Caenorhabditis elegans: one gene and its partners. The protein of the gene in region 4 interacts with the protein of the main gene of each other region in a pairwise test. Each region holds a gene or a part of one and is shown on either strand. Other genes may lie near its edges.

Region 1 (7,209 bases), on a different chromosome or scaffold from region 4:
TTACAAAACTGATGCGAGACATGTACAACGACAAAAGTATTCCCGAGCCTAGCAAGATTATCAGAACTCAGCTGACCAAGAACGAGTTGCTTCTAGGATCCTATTCCTACATGACTCAAGTGCAAGCGCTCTCCCATATTTCTCACTCTCAACTTGCGATTCCAGTGAAACTGGAAGGAAGACCAAAGGTTCTGTTTGCCGGTGAAGCAACTCATCACAGGTATACTATTTCAGAGATAAGAGAAAAAAGTCTAAACAATCAATTTCAGACTATTCCAAACAACCATCGGAGGTTATTTGAGTGGTCGCAGAGAAGCTGATCGAGCTGTCAATGACTGGTTTGGAAGATGGAATCAGACCACAAAATTGGAAGTAGTGGATGAAACATTGATCAATGATCAGAGAAACATCCCAATCATTTCACAACCAATAACTTCTATTTAAAAATAAGATTAATCAGATACCTTGAGGATTTAACTCAGTTTTTTTATTAAATTTTCGATATTTTCTAATAACGTTGAGTATCAATAAACATTCTTTATTTGGTTTTATCTAGGCAATTTATACTGATGGAATCCTGAGTATGATATTAATGAGATCAAAAAATATGTAGATTCAATGATTTGAAGTTAATCCTCAATCCTCAATCCTCTTGAGATGGAAACGTGAGACATCCTCCTGCACCACCACCAATTCCCATTCGTTGTTGAACATTTGAAGGTCTCGGACCGAGCGATGTTTCCTTCACTAGAGAATTAATTTCATGCATTTGAAGCATATCCAGCACTTGCAATGATTCATTCTTTTTTGCAGCGGCTCTCTGAAATATTTATAGAATTTTTTAATCAGACAGATCGAAAGTTCAACGCGTACCCGAATCGATGGCATTCGAAGAATAATTGAAGCGTATCTCTCGCTTGCCGCTTGCGGATTATAAGCCTTTTGCAAATGACGAAAGAGCACTGCAAGTAGTTTCTTCTGTTCTGCTACAACATTTCTTTGTGATGCCGAATCGAGTCCTTCGGTGTCTGGATCGAAGAACATGATTGCTTGAAGTAGAGCGAATTCTGTCGTGGAGAAGTTCAACTGGCGGAATGGTTTCATTACAAGATCGATCATCATTGTGAGGACTGGTGTTATTCCAGAAAGACTCGAATTGCTGAAAATCAAAATTTAATTGAAGTTAAACATGGAATATCGTCAGTAGGGCAATAGTTTGAAACTACATTTTCATCTCTTACCTCTGAAAAATTTTAATTTACAGTCAAAGTGTTGTAATTTTGGAAGTCGACCAAAAATAATTTTTTTCTTCGAGTTTTATACTTTAATTTTGTATTGATTGTACATAACACTCTGGAGGTCCGAACTTGCATCAATTCTCGAAATTGCACAAAAGCTCTAAGCTGTACATTGTTGAAATTTGGCAATTTGCCAAAAGTTGAACAAAACATAAACCCAAAACTTAAAATTGAGAAAAATCTAAGATCGTTTTTAAATTGTTTAATTAAGGTATTTTGTCATGTTGGACTATATATAATAAGTGTAATTAGACTAGGTCCCCACTGACCATACCTTCCAAAATTAACAAAATGCCTAGGCGTCTACTAGGCACATTAAGCCTGCCACCGATTTTTCTCATAATTCCTTGGTAACGTCAGATACATCAACTATAAGAATATAGTCTAAATACACATTTATCATGACTGAATATCACAATAAAACACTTTAAAAATTTTGAAAGCTTTCAAAAGTGACAGCTAAGCTTTTGGTAAGTTAGAATGTTCTAAGGTGAATATTTGAAACATAATTTAAATGTAAAAATCATAGACACAATTTTAGGTTGACTTTTGCAAAAATGGCTCTATAGATTACGGTTTTGTGTTTCATTATTTTATAAATTTCAAACTAGATTGTTTTTCAAAAAAATAAAGAACCCACTTTGCACTTGGAGACTGAAAGTTTCTCGATTCCAACATTGAAACAGTTTTCATAGATCGTTCATTCAAGTTGCAGGAGGATGGACGACCCTGTTTAAGAAAAATTAACTTTATGTACTTGAAAAAAAAAAATTTTACCACACAAAAGTCTCGAGCTTCAAAGAAATTGTGCATATCTGATTTTCCTTCGTGTCCAGCTGTTGGATGACCGTAATCTTGAGGGATCCACGAAGCATAGTCTGCTGGAAGGTTGCCATATTCAGTTGGAAGTTGAATCATTCCTTCTGTCGATGGAACTTCTAGTGGTTCTTTCTTTATTTCTCTGAAAAAATATAAATTGAGACTTATGGGTTTGAATATCTATACCGAATTGGAAGATTCAAAAGTATTTTATCATCAGAAGAATTCTCTCCAAACATGATCCCTTTGTTGATAGACTGCTGGATACATGCCGCATGAAGCAAGTTTGTCAAATCATCGTGTACATCTTCCCCATTGCTCACTAAGCTTCCAGCCACCGATGAAACCCTGCTACATCCGGATCCGGAGTTTGATGTCACGATATTTGGAAGATCCGGTCTCTTACGAACAACATCCGATTTCATGTGCTCTGGAGTGCGGAAAGCTTCACACATGATCATGAAAGAAGATGCATGATTAGTTACCATGGCAACCTGAAAAAGTGGATGATGGAAGAGGTAGAGGAGAATGTTTAGATACTTACTTTGTCAGCGTACGGTAGGGATCTAAAAGTGGAAAATGTCTTCGCCCAATCTATGTATAGAGCTATCAAACGTTGCCTCCAGAATGGCAATTTATCATCTCGATTTGTGAGAACTACATTGTCTGACCACTGAAATAAGTTGTAAGTATTGTGGAAATTTGGAAATAGATCTAAAAAAAGTCAGAAAGCGGTGAAAACTAAGTTTGCGGCACTTTTCAAGAAATCTAATGCACTGTCGCATATTTGAGCATCTACAATGTTGGAAGATGAATATTTTAAATATATTTTAAACATAAAATTGGAATTTTTTTGATTGACGAATTCCAAAAAATTGGGAAAATAATTTTTTGTAAAGTTTTAAAATAAATCGAATTTGGAACTAAAATTAAAAAGTAAATTTTAATAAACTTCGGCGTATTTTTGTACCAAAAAAAGTGAATTTTCCAATTTTGAAAAAATCCCAATCATTCGTTCAGTCTTATTTTTATAATAGTAGATTTCATGAAAATTTTAAAATTTTTAGCTCAAGCTGTTAGACGTGATTTTATACATTTTTCATATTACAAAAATTTAAATACTTATGCAAATTTTTAACAGTATATGACCATTGGGGTTCTGAATTTAATTCATTTATAATAGACCAATATGACCAAATTTTCTGGATTTTTTGAAATTTTCAGTCAAGTTTTGGTAAAATGCCAAAATTTTCAGAAACATTTGAAATTTTTTGGTCGACTTTCAAAATTAAAAGAAACTATTTTAATGCACATAAACAATACCAAACATCTATTGACGCTACTTTATAAATCATTTCTTCAACTCACTTCACAAGAAATAGGTTGCATAAATCGACTTGGAGCATTGAGAGCATCTTCTAACGTTGCATAGGAATGCAAATCGGCGCATCTACTCAAAAGTAGTGTGAAGTTATTTTCCAACGTTGTAAGCCTATCAGCAATTGGATCCAGACAATTCTGAAATTATGCATTGCATTGTTTTTGGAAATTTCTATTTAAAAGTTACCAAATCAATTTTAATATCCTTCATATCCATACTCTCGGGGCTCTCATCATTCATTTGTGGACTTCCTGAAGATCCATCTCTGATATGTTCTGAATGATGAACACCTCCTTCCATATCATTGTCATCATGTCTTCTTTTTCGTTTTGTGTATCCAATTCTATCACGGTCGTTTTGAATTGCTGAATAGATTCAGATTTTAAAAAAAATTAAATTGAAATATAATTGTATATTGTTCTATGAAATTTTGTAACTTCTAGATTGATGAGAAACTGGAAAAATTTCAAAATTGGTTTTCAAAATTTGTAATTTTATCTAGAGCCTCTTAATTAACGGCTCTTAAAAAATTGTTCTCCTTATTTAAACTCAAAAATACGGTGACCCTGGTCTCGACGCGACAGTTTTTTGATCAATGCGAAAAGGTGTGCGCCTTTGAAGAGTACTGTAGTTTGAACTCGCTATTGTGGAATTTTCATTGATTTTGAATAGTTTTTCTCACAAATTTATGTGTTTTTAATATTTTTACCAATTGCAAAATTATATTTTTCATAGAAAATCGGAGAAAAATTGATAAAAATTCATCAGCAAAGTTTAAAGCTACAGTACTCTTTAAAGGCGCATATATTTTTATATTTATCAAACATTTATCGTGCCGAGACCGGCAGAGAGGGAAAATTCGCCAAATTTCGCGTCTGAATAATACTTTTTTATTCTATAATTGATCTAATTGTAAGAAAAATATATATTTCAACAGAAAAGTGTTTTCTAATTTTTTCAATTTAATATTTATTTATACATATTCGGCCGTGGAAAATGGCAGGTGATTTTTTATTTATTTCGGGTTGCTTCTACGGCTTTACTAATCGATGTACCATGTACCCTAGGATCCTTCCATAATCTCAAAGTATACCAAAAACTTACAATTCTTATCCATTCCAACGGCCAAACATTTTTGAAGTCGACAATAACGACACGCGCATCGAACTCCTTTGTTAACTGGACAATCTTTATTCCCTTGACACACGAATTCTCGGTTATTCTAAAAAAAGGGTGATGTTTGATGCTTGTTAAATTGATCTTACAACATTTTGTGATTAGATATCAATTTGAAACATTTTAATTGAGAGAAAAATCAATATTTTCAGATTCATTTCAACTAGGTCTATTCTTATTTAAATTTACCACAAGAGCCCGACGAAAAAAAGTTTTGCATCCATTGCATGAAGCAACGCTGTAATGTTTGCCAGTTGCAATGTCGTCACAGACTGCGCATAGTGTACCTGATAATATTATGTGAAAAATGTCCAAAAACAGAACCCCAACCTGGTGGCAACTTTTCACTCATAATTTTAAAGTTTATGGATTATTTAGAATTTATGAATATTTTAAATATAGCTTGTAATAGTAGCATTGGCTTTTTTATTAGTTAGAATGCAGTATTTATATAGATTGTAGTTGTGTGCGTGCTAAGATTATTGGAGTATTGGTGTTGTCACGTCTTCAGTCTCTCTGCCGTGCGCTCACGAGAATGGGGCAAGCGAAGTTGCGGCTGACGCGTTATTGGATGCTGGCGCGTTTCGCGACCAGCGTTGGTTTTATCGAGAATTTTCTCTGCAGTACAAAGTCCCAAATTCGGTGGTTTTTTATCGATTTGACGCGCGTTTGCTCAATTTCTCGATTTTCCGCGTTTTTTATTCAGTTCTCATTAATTAACGTTCGATGCTTGTTCACAAAATTCAGTTTTTGTTTTCACTTGCTCGTTGGTGTCGTTCGTTGTGTAAGAAAATTGATTTCTAAATATTTTGTTTAAATTGCTAAAAAATAATTCAATAATTTACATTATTGAATTATTAAAAGTTGTATTTTTCAAACATCTCGCGCATTCTCCGTCCGTTTCTCTCAATTTTTCACTGTCATGTCCGCATTTTAATATTCATTTTTTTTCAGGTAATATGTTTGGAGGTGGAAGTAGTGGTCCCGTGGACACCACTTTATACACAACACTCAATGTGAGACCAGACGCTTCGCAGGCCGACATTAAGAAATCTTACTTCAAACTTGCTAAAGAATACCATCCAGATAAAAACCCGGACCATGGAGATAAATTCAAAGAGATCAGTTTTGCCTATGAAGTTCTTTCGAGCCCTGAAAAACGACGCTTGTATGACGCCAGAGGTTTGGAAGGAGTTCAAGGAGGAGGAGCTGGTGGTGGTGGAGGAGGCTTTCCTGGAGGTCTGTTCTCTCACTTCTTCGGCGGTGCTGGCGGTGATGACGATGACGACGATGATGATATGGGTGGTCATCCATTTGGTGGCTTGTTCGGTGGAATGGGTGGAATGGGACGAGGTGGCCCACGTCGGCGGAAATTCCAAGATACTGTTCATCCCCTCAATGTTACACTCGAAGAGCTTTACGTCGGAAAAACATCAAAGCTGAAGCTTTCCAAAAAGGCACTCTGTAAAACTTGCGAAGGGTCAGGTGGAAAGAAGGGAGAAAAATATAAGTGTGATGCATGCCGTGGTCGTGGAGTGAAGACGATCGTTCAGCAAATTGGCCCCGGAATGCTCCAACAAATGCAGGTTCACTGTGATGCTTGTAAGGGTTCTGGAGGCAAAGTTCCAGCAGGTGATAAGTGCAAAGGATGCCATGGAGAAAAGTACGAAAACGTTTCGAAAATATTGGAGGTTCACGTTCTTCCTGGCATGAAACATAACGATAAAATTACATTCAAAGGAGATGGAGACCAATCTGACGTAAGTGCATGTGAAGATAATTGATTTAAAAAAATTTCTAAATAAAAATATCTTTTAGCCAGATGGTGAGCCAGGAGATGTTGTCATTGTTATTCAACAGAAAGATCATGATATTTTCAAGAGAGATGGAGATGATCTTCACATGACCAAGTAATAACTTTTTATCGATTTTTAAAAATTAAGTTTTACTGTTTTCAGGAAACTATCACTGAATGAGGCACTTTGCGGCTATAATTTCCTTATCAAACATCTTGATGGCCATCCTTTGGTTCTTTCTAGTAAACAAGGAGATGTTATCAAGCCAGGAGTCATCAGAGGAGTTCTTGGAAAAGGAATGCCAAATAAGAAATACCCAGAACTCAAAGGAAACTTGTTCGTTGAATTTGAAGTCGAATTTCCAAAGGAGCATTTCCTCGATGATGAAAAAGCTTATGCCGTAAGTATTTTTATTAAAGATTTATTGTTCTTAATGTATTGTTCGAACTGTTTTTTAAGGTTTTGTTTCATTTACTGACTTTATTTCCGTTTTAAAAAAGCAACAAAAATTTATGTTTATAAATTGATTAGAATAGGATTTGTATGTTACGTTTTATTTATCTAAAATTTTCTTTATTCCAGGTTCTGAAAAGCTGCTTCCCTACCTCAAAAGTTGTCAATGTCACCCCAGCTGCCGCAGAAGTTTCTCTTATGGAATATGACGAGAAGAAGTACAGCCGAGGACGTGGCGGAGACGCTTACAATGAAGATTCGGACGAAGAACAACACGGAGGACATC
Region 2 (3,720 bases), 7.2 Mb from region 4:
ACTTACAATTAAATTAAGAGATTTTCAGCTAATAATTTTCCATTTTCAGGTCACATTCTACCGCTTCTATCATGTTTTCAAAGACGGTGAACTTGCCGATTTAGTAGATTCCGTGGAGAGTCTAAAAGTCGTCTCAGCAACTTTTGAACATGGCAATTGGTGTGTAATTGCTGAAAAAGTGGCGGCAAATGTCATTCGACCATGAACATTAGGAATCATCTCGTATTGCACATATCCAAAGTTCGTTTGAGAACTAAATCTTATGATCTCGAAAAAAATAAACTGTATTTATGTAAATAAGCGTTAAAATCTTACAAATTAATACAAAACGTTTGAAGTTTATGCAGATTTTATCTTTCGCTTCTAACTAGGTTGCAGGTGGACATGGTGTAACGGACATTTGGAGCTCGAGAGCTCCAATGAGAAACCAATGGGAAAGCATAAAATTGAATACATACTTTTGACAAAACGCTGTTTTAAAATAAACATTTTGACAAAAGAAAAATAAAATAAATTTGAAGCTTCATTTAAACAGCATTTAAACTGGGAATCGATGAATGCTATGATTTTCTAGAGGCTTATGAAATGCGGATGCCTGTTGGAGAATAAGATGTGCTGAATGAAACAATCGAACTAAGCAGCGGAAAGAGTGTTTTTCAAGTCTTGTGAATCGAATAAATTTGAAAAGTTAGTGGGATATACTTTAAACCAATTTAAGACAGTTCGGAGATTAAAATAATTTATTCCACAGTAAAAGTTACTCAAAGAGTTTCATAGCCGATGGTCTTGAAATCGCATTCTTCATGACTGGGGATGGCTTCTTCTCACGTTGCTCCCGCTTCAAATCACCGATGATTCCCCACATATCGAAAACCATTCCATCCGGGAAATCGAACATTGAGAGCTCCGACTCTTTGATGGCTTCACTGAGTTGCAAAAGCGTCTCGCAGTTTGAAGCAGTTTCCCAGATTCTCATGGCCAGCTGATCATCTTGAACTCCCAAGTATTGGTCGAATATCTCATTGAGCTTTCCGCACATCTCAGCTTGGATCATCTGATCTTGAACATCCTCAACAGCAAATCCGCCTTCCGATTTGAAACGAATGGTTCCTTTTGCCAGACCTCCGCCAGTTTTTCCAGTCGTCTTCATGGTTCCTGGATCAGCAGTCTTTGGAGCAATCAATCGAACCACGCATTCCTCGCCGCGACGAACATTTTTCAAAATTCGGGCAACTTGGTAATGCCTTTTCCCGAGCACACATTCTCCATTGACCGCCTCAATGAGTTGACCAACTTGAGTGGCTGGACGCATACGATCAAACACCGAATCTGGGCTTATGACCTTGATAAATGCATTCCCGAGTCCGTTGTCCGTGATTGTCACTCCAAAGTTTTTAGCATCTTTGACGACTCGGAGCTCGGTTGCTTGTCCGCGAATGTGGGCGAAGAGCATATCCTTGAAGTTCAGTGTTCCAGTGAACATGTTCTTCATGTCTGGCTGAAATATTTAGAATAAGAATTTGACTTATTTATGTCAAAACTAACCTTAAAATCATTGACTGTCAGGAAAATGATATCATCTTTTGAAATTGTAAAGCAATCGGCAATTGATTGATACAATTCCTCCATATTGTTCCATTTGTCGATGATTCCAACTGGACTTCCATGAGCCATCTGGCAAGCAAATTTGAGCTGTCTTGCTGCCACCATCAAAGGATTGACTACTGTCATGATAGTAGACGATGATTCCTCGGCAATTGAATCCAATACGGCAGGCTGAATTGGAAGCACTGAACCGTGGTTGGAGCTACGATTGAAAGCTCCACGAGATCTCGAGCGGGTTCTAAAATATTCATGGTAACTTGAGACATAAGACTCGGGCTCATGTAATACATACCTAGAACGGCAGAATGGTGATCCTTGTCCTTGCATTGTGGAGAATGTTAGTAGTTGTACTAGTTGAAGTGAGTTGGTGTTAAATCGATGAATGAATCATTTTATCAAGAAACTGATCTTTTATAGGCATTGATGTGGGCGGAGCTTAGATGCCAACCAAATTAGAGTGCCACGCTGAGGAAGTTCATTAAAAATATAACTTTCGAATTTTATTAATTTTCGTGTTTTTCTTCATTTTGTTTTAAAACTGTAACACGTATAACTAAAGTAAATCGCAAACAATTCTCTCGATTTTTGCTCAATATCGAGGCAATTTCCAGATCTTAACACGAGTTAATTGTTCAACTACCGTACCCGTAAGACTTGCCCTAAAAATATTGGCTGCGGACTCTTCATGAGCTCAAAAAGGATTATGTGCTCATCGGAGGAGCCGAGCGATTTAAAATTGATATCTAGTTTTTTGTGATTTTAACTATTTGAAATCATTTATTTGAAGCAGTTCTTTTTATCCTGGGTTTCTTTTGTCAAACTTTTCCGAGCAGGAGCCCCGTCGACTTTTGAATAGTGATGGTTGGGAATGTATCTTGTGAAACTGAAATATCAGCCCAAGTAGCGACAAAAAAAACCAGAAGTATGAATACTCTCTATGAATACTGATAGACCTGATAATACGCTTTGTGACTATACTTCTGGCTGGCTCCTGGGCCATAACTATGGTGCAGGAAATTCTTATATTGAAACCCAATGGGAATTTTTTAATGAAAAATCTTTATTAAAAATCAATCCTCTTGAGTTCGATCAATTTTATTTTTTCTTTCCTTTTTTCCTTTCCCTTCATTCTCATCCTCATCTTTCGAGAAGAGATCTATTGTTGCTCCTGTCCACTTTTTCAGAATTTTCTGAGATCCTCCAGTGCTTGGTTGAGTGGGTTGGCTGAAAATATAATCATTTTCAGAAAATTCAAACTTAAAACATACACATCAGGAGTAAGAATATCCATATTACTCTCCCGCAACACTTTCTCTACGTCTTCATCTCTCGCCTTTCTGATTTGAGCAGCAACTACATCCGTTGATCCCATTGAGCCATTACTTGTCTTACTTGCCACTTCATTCAATGCTCCTGCGATATTGTTATTTTGATCTCGATTGTTGAAAAAGTCGAATTCTTTCTTATCACTGTTCTTCTTATCATTCACTTTTCTGGTTACTTGCATAAGAAGACCTACATTTGGCTCTTGAATGCGGAGACGTTCGGCGAGTTGCTGGAGCTGAAATATGAATAGAAGTGAGCTTCACAATTCACGCTCACCCCTCTCGACCGGAAGGCGCCTATTGCAAGAGGATGGCGATTACGTGATCATCAATGATCATTACGCCTCGGTCGGATGAAATATTTAGGCAGGGCCCGAAAAGGAAGATACGTTGAACCTGCACTAACAATCTGATCTAATGAACACAAACCTTCCACTCAGTGAACTTCAGCCATCGTACATTCCTTCGAAACCCGCAATTCATATATAACGTCATAAGCATTGTAAGGAGTGTCATGCATGTACAAGCAACAATCATCCATAAGTTTGGGCTGCATATTGCGTAACTGAAAAAAGAGAAGTTTGATAGAAGTTTACACTCTTTAAATTTTCTCACAAAAGCTTCTAATTCTTAAGAATATGGAACAAATCCTGAGAAGAAAGCAACAGCTTTGTCTCAAGGCACACATGCCTACCTTTCGCCTACTACAAAAGAGAGCTTTTGCGGGTTGGTACACAATAGATCTAGGTTTTCTTGTAGGAAATCAAGCAGGCATTTTATGCCTACACAA
Region 3 (5,176 bases), about 10 Mb from region 4:
TTTTTAACAGTAATTCGAATCACCGCCAAAAATATTCACAGAATTTTGAATTCCCGCCAAAAATATTCACAGAATTTTGAATTCCCGCCAAAATTTTTAAAAAGAAATTTGAATTCCCGCCAAAAATATTCACAGAATTTTGAATTCCCGCCGAAATTTAAAAAAATTGAATTCCCGCCAAATCTTTCCTCAGAAATTTGAATTACCGCCGAAATTTTTCTCAGAATATTTATATTCCCGTCAAAATTTTTTACAGAAATTTGGATTACCGCCATATTTTTCTCTCAGAAATTTGAATTCCCGCCAAAAAAAATCTCATAATATTTGGAATTCTTCAGAATTAGCGAATTTGTGAAATTTATCTAAAAACTTTTTAAAAAGTAGGCTCTGAAAAGTCTCGAATATTGTTTGTTACATTTCGAATTAAAAATCTTAAAAGTTTTGACCACATTTTTGAGTATAAAAACCCAAAATTGTTAAAACTGTACCAAATTACAGATTCATGCCTAAACTATATCTTACACACATTAATTTTTACCGGGAAAAAAAATATTTATTTCAGACTTTTCCAGACAGAATTTTCTAAATTTTTAGGAAACCAACTATATTAAATAAGCAAAAAAATAATTTTTAACTTTTCTGAAAAGTCAATAATTTCGACGTCTGGACTTCATATCGTTGACGCAGGTCATGCAGGTTCTCGGGCGGTTTGAATGATCAAATGGACATGTGGATTTGTTACAAGTGTCCTCATAACGGCACATATTATGGGAATATATGCATTTGGCTCCAGGACATTGGGGGAAGTTTCTGGAAACTTTTTTTTGGTGAAAACCGTTGTTTTGAGCTTCTGAAATGTGCTCAAAATTCAGAAAAAATTGCTCACTTGCACTTGACCGGCGGGCCATGAGGACAGGATCCAACTCCACGGAGAGCACCACCAACTGAGACATTTTGACTGGAATTACGGCTTCCATGGCGATACATCCGCTTTTTTACTGTCTCCTGGAAAATTAGATTTTGAAAAAGGTTCCAACGGCTCAGCTGGTTACAGGTTTTGCTTCGAAAGAATTGGTCAAGGGTTCGAGTCCCACCAGTGGTAATTGTTTTTTTTTTAAATTTTTTTTATTTGAAAAATTGTTCTAAAATCCCAATTTGAGCCATAACTCGAAAATCGAAAATCTCAGGAAGCAAAATAAACTAAATTTTTTGGATTTTGCTCAAAAAATACGTTTTAAAACCCAAAAATTCTTCAAACCTTAAAAATATGATCCCTGAACTCGTCCCAATCATCATCTGACATTAATTCAGAGCTTTTACCAAATGGCTCCTGGCAATACGCGCAGATTACAGGCTTTGGGCCGTGTCGGTGGGCGGTATGGGCCGCCAGGCGCTCAATTGATTCGGATTTCTGAAAAAAGTTAGTTTTTTCCCCAAAAATCGATATTCCTAGAAAAATCAATATTCCTCCAAAAATCAATAATTTTTCCAAAAATCAATAATTTTCAATATATCTAGAAAAATCAATATTTCTAGAAAAAATCTATGTTCCTCCAAAAATCAATAATTTCTAAAAAATCATAGTTTTTTCCAGAAATTAATATTTCTAGAAAAATTATTATTTCTCCATAAATCAATAATTTCCAACAAATCGATAATTTCCAAAAATCAATAATTTCCAAAAATCATTATTTATCCAATAATCAATATTTCTAGAAAAATCAATATTCCTCCAGAAATTAATGTTTTTTCCGAAAATTTTCCATAAATCAATATATTCCAAAAATCATAGTTTTTTTCCAGAAATTAATATTTCTAGAAAAATCATTATTTCTTCATAAATCAATAATTTCCAAAAATCAATAATTTCTAAATATCGATACTTTTTCCAAAAATCAATACACCTAAAATCGATATTTTTCAGAAAATCATTCTTTTTTCAAAAATTCAATATTTCTAGAAAAGTCAATATTCTTCCAAAAATCAATATTTTTCAAAAACCATTAATTTCCATAAAATCGATAATTTCTGAAAATCAATATTTTAAAAAAATAAATATTTCTAGAAAAATTAATATTTCTAGAAAAATTAATATTTCTAGAAAAATTAATATTTCTAGAAAAATTAATATTTCTAGAAAAATTAATATTTCTAGAAAAATTAATATTTCTAGAAAAATCTATAATTTTTCAAAAACCATTAATTTCCATAAAATCGATATCTTCCCAAAATCAATATTATTTTTAAAAAATCAATATTTCTAGTCCATTTACCTTGTCACAATGATAGCAATTAAATTGATCTTCATGATTTTTAATCTCGTGCTCCGCGAGCTCCCGAATCGAGTCGAAAGCTTTCCGGCACTGACGGCAGTTGAATTGGGGAGCCTTCGGTGTCCGAGAACGGTCACGGACTGGGGAGCTGGAATTTTCGACAATTTTGGATTAAAACGGGAGAAAATTGGGCTAAACTTGTTTGCATTTTTTGAATTTTTCGAAAAATAGGAAGGACATAGATAGATCGATGAAAATAGTGATACAGTAGTGATAAAAATTTTTTTTTGTTACAATAAATTGATATCAACACAACAAATCATATATTGAGCCATAGCCTGGCTCATAATGCTCGGAGAGCAATATAACCTAGATTTTCGGATTTAGCAAAAAATTTTAAATAAAAAATTGTTCCAATGGCTCAGCTGGTTACAGCCTTGACTTCGAAAATAGGTCAAGGGTTCGAGTCCCACTAGTGGTAACAACTTTTTTTTGTTTAATTTGGCATAACATTTGGTTTTTTTCTGAAAAAATTGTCCTAAAATTCAATTTTGAGCCATAGCTGGGCTCGAAATGCTCAAAATTTAAAATTCCAAGCCAAGTAACTCTATAAAAATAATAAATGAGCAATTTGCCATGTAATCCATGTTTCCAAAAAAACACAACACAATAGATAAATAAGATACTTCTTCCCATATATATAGATAGTTTCAAAATATTTTCCAACTACAAAAATCAATATACTCAATCTCCTCAAACGTCCCACGGCTTGTTGAGCGGCTGCGGTTTCTTGCAATTGGACTGCAAAAGCGTCAATTTTAATTTTTTTTTTTGATTTTAAAAGTGACTAACATACCTTCTAGACCTTTCCCTGTTTTGTTTTGACCTGAAATTTAGAATTCAAAAAAAAAAGAAGATTGCTAGAAAACACCCGTACTTGATATATTTTCAAGTTTTATAGTGAAAAATTCGAATTCTCCGCCATGAAAAACCTAAATACACTGCCGGGGACTCGAACCCGCGACCTTTTTCACAGAGGTCAAACCTCTTACCCACTGCGCCACGGCGCCCATTACGCGCAGCAGCAGCGCCTGGCTCGGCGTACCGGTGGCGCAGTCGGTAACAGGGCTGGTTTTGGTGAAAAGGTCAGGGGTTCGAGCCCCCGCTGGGGTATTCAGGTTTTTCATAGCGGAGAATTCAAATTTTTCACTTTAAAATTCAAGATATCAACTCTAAAAGCACATTTTCAGACAAATCTTGCTTACCTTTTCTTATAGTCCTTCTTAGTTCTGCGATTATCCTCGCTGCTGCTCATTTTGGCACCTTGGCAGAAATAAGAGAAAAAAGGGGAATTCGTAAAGCAACAAAGCTGACAACAAAAATAAAAAGAAGTTGGAGCTTTTCCTTCGGGGAGAGGAAGGCGACCAGTTACCACGGAAACCTCGCCGCACCCCCTAATTGATAAGAGTTTTTCTGATTTCCACCTGCTGGTCGGGCTCTCGGCGTGCCCAGTGAGGTGTGAACTTTTTGTGGGAAAAAAGGAAAAAAAATTAGGGAAGGAGATTTTCATGTATTTGAAAATCAAAAAACAAAAATCATAGTAAAAATTTAAAAATCGATAATATATATATAATATACGAAAATAATCAAAAAATTCAAAAAAAAATCGATAACTTTACGAAGGAGTCGGCGAAGATTCCTCGAATGGTTCGACGTCGGATTTTCGGCGACAAATGAAATATTCGGGTACAATAATCGATAATTCGCGGCGACGTAGAGCCTGAAAATTAGATTTTTTTGAAGAAAAAATTATCGATTTTTTTTTGGAATTTTTTTTTGAGAAATATTGATTTAAAAAAAAAATTTTAGAAATAAAAACTTACATATCCCGCCGAGCATTTCGTGCAATTGAGCCAGCCAACAAAAAATTGGAATATTTGTGAAATTCGGGACCATACCCGTTGAAAAAAGCAAAAAAATTATTTTTGAAAAAAATCTATTTTTTTCAATTTTTTTATAAAAATTTAAAAAATTGTTAAATATTGAAAAATCACAATAACTACAAAAATATCATTTTAAACATGCATTCTAGCATTTGGAGATGCTGAAAATCGTCGTCTAACACATTTCGGCGACATTGAGGCCAGCGTTTTCAGAAAGTTACAGGTCGATGACGTCATCGGCTCTGCCGGTGTGGCAGTTATGTAGGCCAAGCTGTGACGGGTGGAAGCCGTGCGATGTTGTCTGCCAGAAAATGCAGAAATTTTCACCTGAGTAAGGTCCTGTTTCGTTTCGACGCTTAAGCCCGAGCTTAGGCCCGAGTCATCGCCGGATATCGAGTGCTGGCCGTTTATTGCCTGAAATTTATTGATTTTTCAATATGAAAACTAAGTCAGCAGTAGTCTGAAAATTTATCCATCGACTGATTTTTAGATCGTTTGAAAATATTGATTTTTGACTGATTTATGTAGAAATTTGTAAAAATCTAAATTTTGAAAAATACTTCGAGTCGCTACTCAGCCAATTTTCGAGATTTCACAATTATTTATGAGAATATAGATTTGTCAGACTGAGAGCTTCAAATTAAGTATAAACACGACTAGGTTCCGTGCAAAAACAATTTAGGCTCCGTCCACTTGTTGAAAAATATTGTGAAACTTCAGTTTTTCGAGAAAATACTGTTGTTTTCATTTAGATTTAGTGAAATTCAGTTTAGCCACTTTGAGAGCTTTTATTTAAGTATAAACACGACTAGGTTCCGATCGAAAAACGATTTAGGCTCCGCCCACTTCTTGGAAAAAATTGCGAAATTTGGGAGATTATGATTTTTCAAACAATTTTTCATTACATTTCTTCAATATTATCATTAAATTTAACTTTGTCACGCGGAGAACTTTAATATT
Region 4 (5,599 bases):
TTTTGTTCAAAATTTGTGAAAATTCAGGCCCATTTTGCTCAAAATTTGTGAAAATTTAGGCCCATTTTGCTCAAAATTTGTGAATATTTAGGCCCATTTTGTTCAAAATTTGTGAAAATTTAGGTCCACCACGGGGTTCTGGCCTTCCTCATTGAATTTTTCGCGCTCCATTGACAATCGCCTGTCGGACAACGCGTGGAAAAGTGTCGTGTACTCCACACGGACAATTACATTTAGTTTTACAATCGAGCCGCGACGCGACACGCAACGCACCGTAAATCTACCCCAGATGTGGCCGAGCCATAATGGCCTAGTTCGGCAAACTCTTCCATTTCAATTTATGAGGGAAGCCAGAAATCCGTGTAAATGGCGAAACACAATCTAACTTTTGAAAGATTCAAAAAAACTGTTTAAAAAATTTGTTTTTTCAGAAAATCCGATACAAAAAAAAGTTAAAATTAAAAAAAAGATTATTGAGGGAATATATTGAGGAGAGTAAAGTAGTTTGTACCGGTAAATTGAATTTATTAAATGCGGATCAATGGTGGTGATATAATGAAGTAGAACATTTGAGCTAAGGTTGAGAGAGAGAGATGGAAGAAAAAAAAAGAAGTTCAATATTCACCTAAAAGGAAACAGAAAACTTTTCAGGAAACATTTCAAGTTGGTATGGTTTTTGGCAAATTTAGACCCAGGTGGCACGTGGTGTCAGAGTGTCACATGTCGGTTTGATCTACTTAGATCTACAAAAAATGCGGCAGAATTCTCAACTGATTTCGTATGGTTAAGAACGTGCTGACGTCACATTTTTTGGGCGAAAAATTCCCGCATTTTTTGTAGATCAAACCGTAATGGGACAGAAAGGCACCGCGTGAGGTGGGGCAATTACAATAAAGTATTTCGAGTTAATCCAATCCAGGTGGCATCAGCATTCCAGTTGGATCTCCAGATGTTCGTTGCTTTTGCTTCTTATCTTTCATTCGTCGGTTCTGAAAATAATATAAATATTACTGGAAGTCAAAATTCTGAAAATGCGTATTGCACAACATATTTGACGCGCAAAATATCTCATAGCGAAAACTACTCTTTAAATGACTACTGTAGTGTCGACTTACGAGCTCAATTTTCGAAACTAACTTTTTTTTTGAATTGTGACAGCTATCACGTGGAGTCAGAGTGTCCCATTTCGGATTGATCTACGTTGATCTACAAAAAATGCGGCAGAGTTCTCAACTGATTTTACATGGTTAAGAACGTTCAAACGTCACATTTTTAGGGCAAAAAATTCCCGCATTTTTTGTAGATCAAACCGTCATGGGTCAGCCTGGCACCACGTGAGCTATATTAATTTGTTTCTTTTGTTTAATAATAATATTCTATCGATAAATTAATAATCCATTTTAAAACTCGAGCCCGTATTACTGTAGTTTTCGCTACGAGATATTTTGCGCAAAACGCATCCTCGGAATCTAGTGTTTTCTTAGTAATCAATAGATGCAGAATTTCTGATACACGCAGTTATACGATTATTGAATCAAATTGTCCATTTGGAATGAAACATCTTAATAATAAGTAGGGCATCCGTGTAGCCTGCCTGCCTGCCTGGCCTCAAGGCGACCTTCGCCTGCCTATCGCCTCAATCTGCGCTTTTTCATCTATTAATTTTATTTTCATCACATTTGAAATTTGAAAATTCACGTCAAAATGCAAAAAAGAGGCGGTCAGGTTTCAGGCAGGCCCCGAAGCCGCGCCTGCCTACCATGGAAGCCAAAAATACTCACTTGGAACCAAATTTTGACTTGTCGCTCAGTCAAATGCAAGTACTTTGCAAGTTCCCACCGCTTCTGCTTACTGACGTAGGTATTGTACAAAAACTCTTTTTCCAACTCCAATGTCTGCGCTTTCGTATACGGCTTCCTCTTTTTACGCATTGCGTGTGAAGAGGACGTCCATTCTAGTTGACCACCGTCTGAAATAAAAATTTTCAAAAAAACTTCAAAAGCTTAAAAACTTTAACAAACCATTCAAATTTCCATCTAAACTTGGCATTGAGTAGTTTGCAAACGGATATTGTTGTGGATAAGAGTATGGCCAAGAAGATGCAGCAAGACTATTTGAATAGAAATCATTGTACATTGATTGATTAACCATCATATTAAACTCTGTTGGAAATCGACCAGCATTGAATGGGTACATTCCGGCTGCAGCCGCTGCTGGCATTGACATACCACTGCTGAAATTGATTTTATTGGTTTTTGTGTTGAGAACACATACTTGGTGTCACAGTGTCTCATTTCGGCTTGATCTACGTAGATCTACAAAAAATGCGGCAGAGTTCTCAACTGATTTTGCATGGTTAAGAACGTGCTGACGTCACATTTTTTGGGCAAAAAAAATCACGCATTTTTTCTAGATCAAACCGTAATGGGACAGTCTGGCACTACGTGTACTTATTGAATTAAGAATATGAAATTTATAATGTCGGGGTATTTTTTGTATATCTTAAAATTAAAAAAAAACAACTTTCGGCAAATTTTGGCTACTTTTCAAAACAAATCAATAATTTTCGGTAACTATCGGCAATTTTTGGCAATTTTTGGCATTTTTTGAAAACTATCCGCAGCTATCGACCACTTTCGACAAATGTTGACACTGTTTAACAAATTTTCAGAAAGTTCAATAACTTCTGAAAACTATCGGCAACTATCGACAACTGGCAGCCTAAAAGTTGCCGAGCTTCCAATTTTTCGAAAAAATTTCGGCAATTTTTGTGCAATCGGCAAATTGGCAAATTGCCGGTTTGCCAATTTGCCGAGTGGCCGGCTTTTTCGATTTTCAAATTAAATGTAGGAGCATTCATAGAATGCGTAAAATTTTGCCCATTAAAATTGAACTTTTGAAATTTCCAAAAAAAATGTGCAAAACCACAATTTGCCGGTTTGCCGATAGGCCGAAAGTTACAATTTCGCCAATTTGCCGGAATTTTTTGATTCTGACAATTTGCCAATTTGCCGAGTGGCCGGCTTTTTTGATTTTCAAAATAAATGTAGGAGCATTCATAGAATGCGTAAAATTTTGCCCATTAAAATTGAAACTCTGAATTTTCGAAAAAAAAATTGCAAAACCACAATTTGCCGGTTTGCCTATTTGCCTGAAGTTTTCAATTCCGGCAATTTGCCGATTTGCCGGAAATTTTTGATTCCGGCAATTTGCCGATTTGCCGTAAAAAATCGTTTGCCGCCCACCCCTGATTATCAAGGCTATTTATAATTCGAAATTTTTCGGGGCCGGCCGCTGAAGTTGCCGAAAGAAAATTAGGCGTTTAGGAACTTCATGCTTATGGAAATGGGCAAAAATTTGGCTATCTATTGCCGAAGTTGTGGTAATTGTCAAATTTGTATTCTAGTTAAAATTAAAAAGTTTCCACTTGACCGCGATATTTAAAATACTTAACAAACCTCGTTGGGAGTGGTGCAACCTGAGGACTGGAAGCAGTGTCGGATCCTCGTTCCGAATGATTGTCCGCTTGTGTCCTTGATAAATTGTTCGATGCAGAACTGCTGGAACCACTAGAAACACCAGATGATCCAGATACAGATTGCTGCAGTTGTGCAGCTCTTGTCGACCAAAAGTTGTGTTGCATTGCTGCTGCTGCCGCCGAAGACGTTGTTGCAGGAGAATCCGAACGTTTAATGAACGGAGACGTCGGTGATTCATCATGAGTTTCATGAGAATCAGAGCTCTTCACAAATGGGGGTGGCATATTAGAATTGTTCATCATCTGTTGCATCACCGAAATCATTAGGATGATGACGGGAGCTCGCTGATGTTCGGGCGTTGTCTACCGTGAGCAAGCCTGCAAGAAAAGCACTATTTTTGGGGTTTCAGCGGGGAGAGATACTAAAGAAAAGTGGTAAGGTCGGGGGTAAAACGAGGTTGTTAGCGGAAAACAAAAACAGGTTTGGCAAAGACCCAAAAGTGGTGCTTTTCTCTGTGGCATTGCTGGGGGGTAGAGAACGAACATCGGCTCGACGGAGGAGCAAGTAGTACAGGAAGTACAGGATACACTGACAGACATACACGTACAGAGAAAAACGAAACAACTTTATGGGTGCCTTGCCAATTGAAAAAAAAGAGTTATTAAATCATGAAAAAGGAAAAAGAAAGTTGAACTTGAATCGAAAAAAGAGTCAAAGAGGACGACAAACAATAAGGGAAAAAATATAGTGAACGGTGTCTAGGTACCGGTTGGAGAGAACGAAGAATGGGCTAAAAACACAACCCTGTGCAAACGAGATTTGGGACAAAAATTATGAAATTGAGAGAGAAGAGAGCAAATTGAATAATGAATAAGAATCAGAAAAAAATCATTAGTTAGAACACTTTGTGTAAATAGAGAAAATCAGTTGATCAATCGCTCGATGCACGGAGTGACTGGAGCACCGTGGGGGAATGGCCCGGAATGTCGTTGACGCAGTTTCTTGTCCTTCATTCGTCGATTCTGAAACAGTGAAGTTAAGAGAAAGCAAAACAATTCATGCAATGTTAAAATGGTTGGAGTTTAGACAAAACAACATATTTACGGTTTTTGACAATGTTCAGGCGCGGTTTCAGGTTTCTAAAGTTTTCAATTATTTCTCATGGTAGGCAGATGCGGTTTCAAGGCCTGATGCCTGCCTGAAACCTGCTCACCTTTTGCCTCCTTTTTGCACATTTCCATTTTTACGTGAATTCACAAATGTCCAACTTATTTATTTGCACTCTGATAATTAATTACGAATGTTACTTTAGTTCAAAAAAGTGTGGCTACAAAAAGTGGTGCCAGGCTGTCCCATTACGGTGTGATCTACAAAAATGCGGGAATTTCTTCCTAAAAAAAGGTGACGTCAGCACGTTCTTAACCATGTGAAATCAGTTGTGAACTCTGCGCCTCTTATCCCGCATTTTTTGTAGATCAACGTAGATCAATCCGAAATGGGATACTCTGACACCACGTGCTGAAAAGTAATTTTTAACTTTTAAAGTATGGTTATTGATGGATTAGCGCCAGTGAGGAAATTGTTAAAAACTACTCCAGTGGTGCCAAAATGATAGCAAAACTTTTCCAAAAAAATTTTGAAAATTTTGACAAGTTTGACAAGTTTGAAAAGTGACAATTACTCAGTTTTTGAAAGTCATAATTTTGGAAGTCTGCCAAAAAAATTCCTATAAAACATTCTAGAGGTCGGAACAGGTTTAAATATTTGGCATTTTGCCAAAACTTTTCTGGAAATTTTAAAAAATTTTTCAATTTTTTCGAGTTCGTTTTGGCTGGCGCTAAATATTGTATTTTTTCAATTATTAGTGCCCAAACCTTGTAAATGTTCAAAATATTGAAATTTAGTATTTTTCAGATGTTCGTTTTTTGAAAATCCAGAGAAGCTCAAAATTAATTTTTAAAAATGAGGAAATTTGGGAATTTACCAAAATTTCTGGAATTTTTTTCATTAGGACATTAGATAAAAATTCACATTTATGATCTCTAGACTTTCCGCTGAATACTGCCTATAACATACCTGGAACCAGACCTTGACCTGCTTCTCATCAAGCATCAATTGTG

What was found.
Region 1: the proteins of php-3 (region 4) and nhr-47 interact in a two-hybrid assay, tested with the Caenorhabditis elegans proteins (one large-scale study listed by BioGRID).
Region 2: the proteins of php-3 (region 4) and gipc-1 interact in a two-hybrid assay, tested with the Caenorhabditis elegans proteins (one large-scale study listed by BioGRID).
Region 3: the proteins of php-3 (region 4) and Y22D7AL.16 interact in a two-hybrid assay, tested with the Caenorhabditis elegans proteins (one large-scale study listed by BioGRID).

What each region holds. Positions count from the first base shown.
Region 1 is NC_003283.11:5,503,270-5,510,478, reverse strand, and holds nhr-47 (Nuclear hormone receptor family member nhr-47), read right to left. Parts: upstream 5,227-7,209; 5' UTR 5,027-5,226; coding exon 5,005-5,026; intron 4,962-5,004; coding exon 4,864-4,961; intron 4,721-4,863; coding exon 4,603-4,720; intron 3,864-4,602; coding exon 3,685-3,863; intron 3,636-3,684; coding exon 3,486-3,635; intron 2,791-3,485; coding exon 2,662-2,790; intron 2,612-2,661; coding exon 2,304-2,611; intron 2,260-2,303; coding exon 2,076-2,259; intron 2,028-2,075; coding exon 1,939-2,027; intron 1,160-1,938; coding exon 874-1,159; intron 821-873; coding exon 644-820; 3' UTR 523-643; downstream 1-522. Other genes in the region: hpo-15 (Amine oxidase domain-containing protein), read left to right, coding at 1-220, 270-444; dnj-19 (DNaJ domain (prokaryotic heat shock protein)), read left to right, coding at 5,634-6,434, 6,493-6,584, 6,633-6,870, 7,053-7,209. UniProt on the Caenorhabditis elegans protein: Orphan nuclear receptor.
Region 2 is NC_003281.10:4,869,052-4,872,771, reverse strand, and holds gipc-1 (PDZ domain-containing protein), read right to left. Parts: upstream 1,995-3,720; 5' UTR 1,933-1,994; coding exon 1,898-1,932; intron 1,844-1,897; coding exon 1,546-1,843; intron 1,499-1,545; coding exon 758-1,498; 3' UTR 511-757; downstream 1-510. Other genes in the region: C35D10.12 (Methyltransferase type 11 domain-containing protein), read left to right, coding at 50-205; C35D10.3 (uncharacterized protein), read right to left, coding at 2,676-2,829, 2,874-3,166, 3,360-3,495.
Region 3 is NC_003281.10:1,661,565-1,666,740, forward strand, and holds Y22D7AL.16 (C2H2-type domain-containing protein), read right to left. Parts: upstream 3,653-5,176; 5' UTR 3,589-3,652; coding exon 3,539-3,588; intron 3,160-3,538; coding exon 3,130-3,159; intron 3,075-3,129; coding exon 3,018-3,074; intron 2,422-3,017; coding exon 2,274-2,421; intron 1,412-2,273; coding exon 1,259-1,411; intron 1,006-1,258; coding exon 887-1,005; intron 811-886; coding exon 648-810; 3' UTR 540-647; downstream 1-539. Other genes in the region: Y22D7AR.3 (Ovule protein), read right to left, coding at 3,929-4,053, 4,157-4,229; glb-30 (Globin domain-containing protein), read right to left, coding at 4,349-4,630.
Region 4 is NC_003281.10:12,073,701-12,079,299, forward strand, and holds php-3 (Homeobox protein php-3), read right to left. Parts: upstream 3,857-5,599; 5' UTR 3,803-3,856; coding exon 3,459-3,802; intron 2,234-3,458; coding exon 2,022-2,233; intron 1,970-2,021; coding exon 1,782-1,969; intron 990-1,781; coding exon 906-989; 3' UTR 518-905; downstream 1-517. Other genes in the region: Homeobox protein nob-1, read right to left, coding at 4,403-4,501, 5,556-5,599. UniProt on the Caenorhabditis elegans protein: Probable transcription factor, involved in posterior embryonic patterning, morphogenetic movements of the posterior hypodermis, and cell fate specification. May regulate expression of transcription factor dmd-3.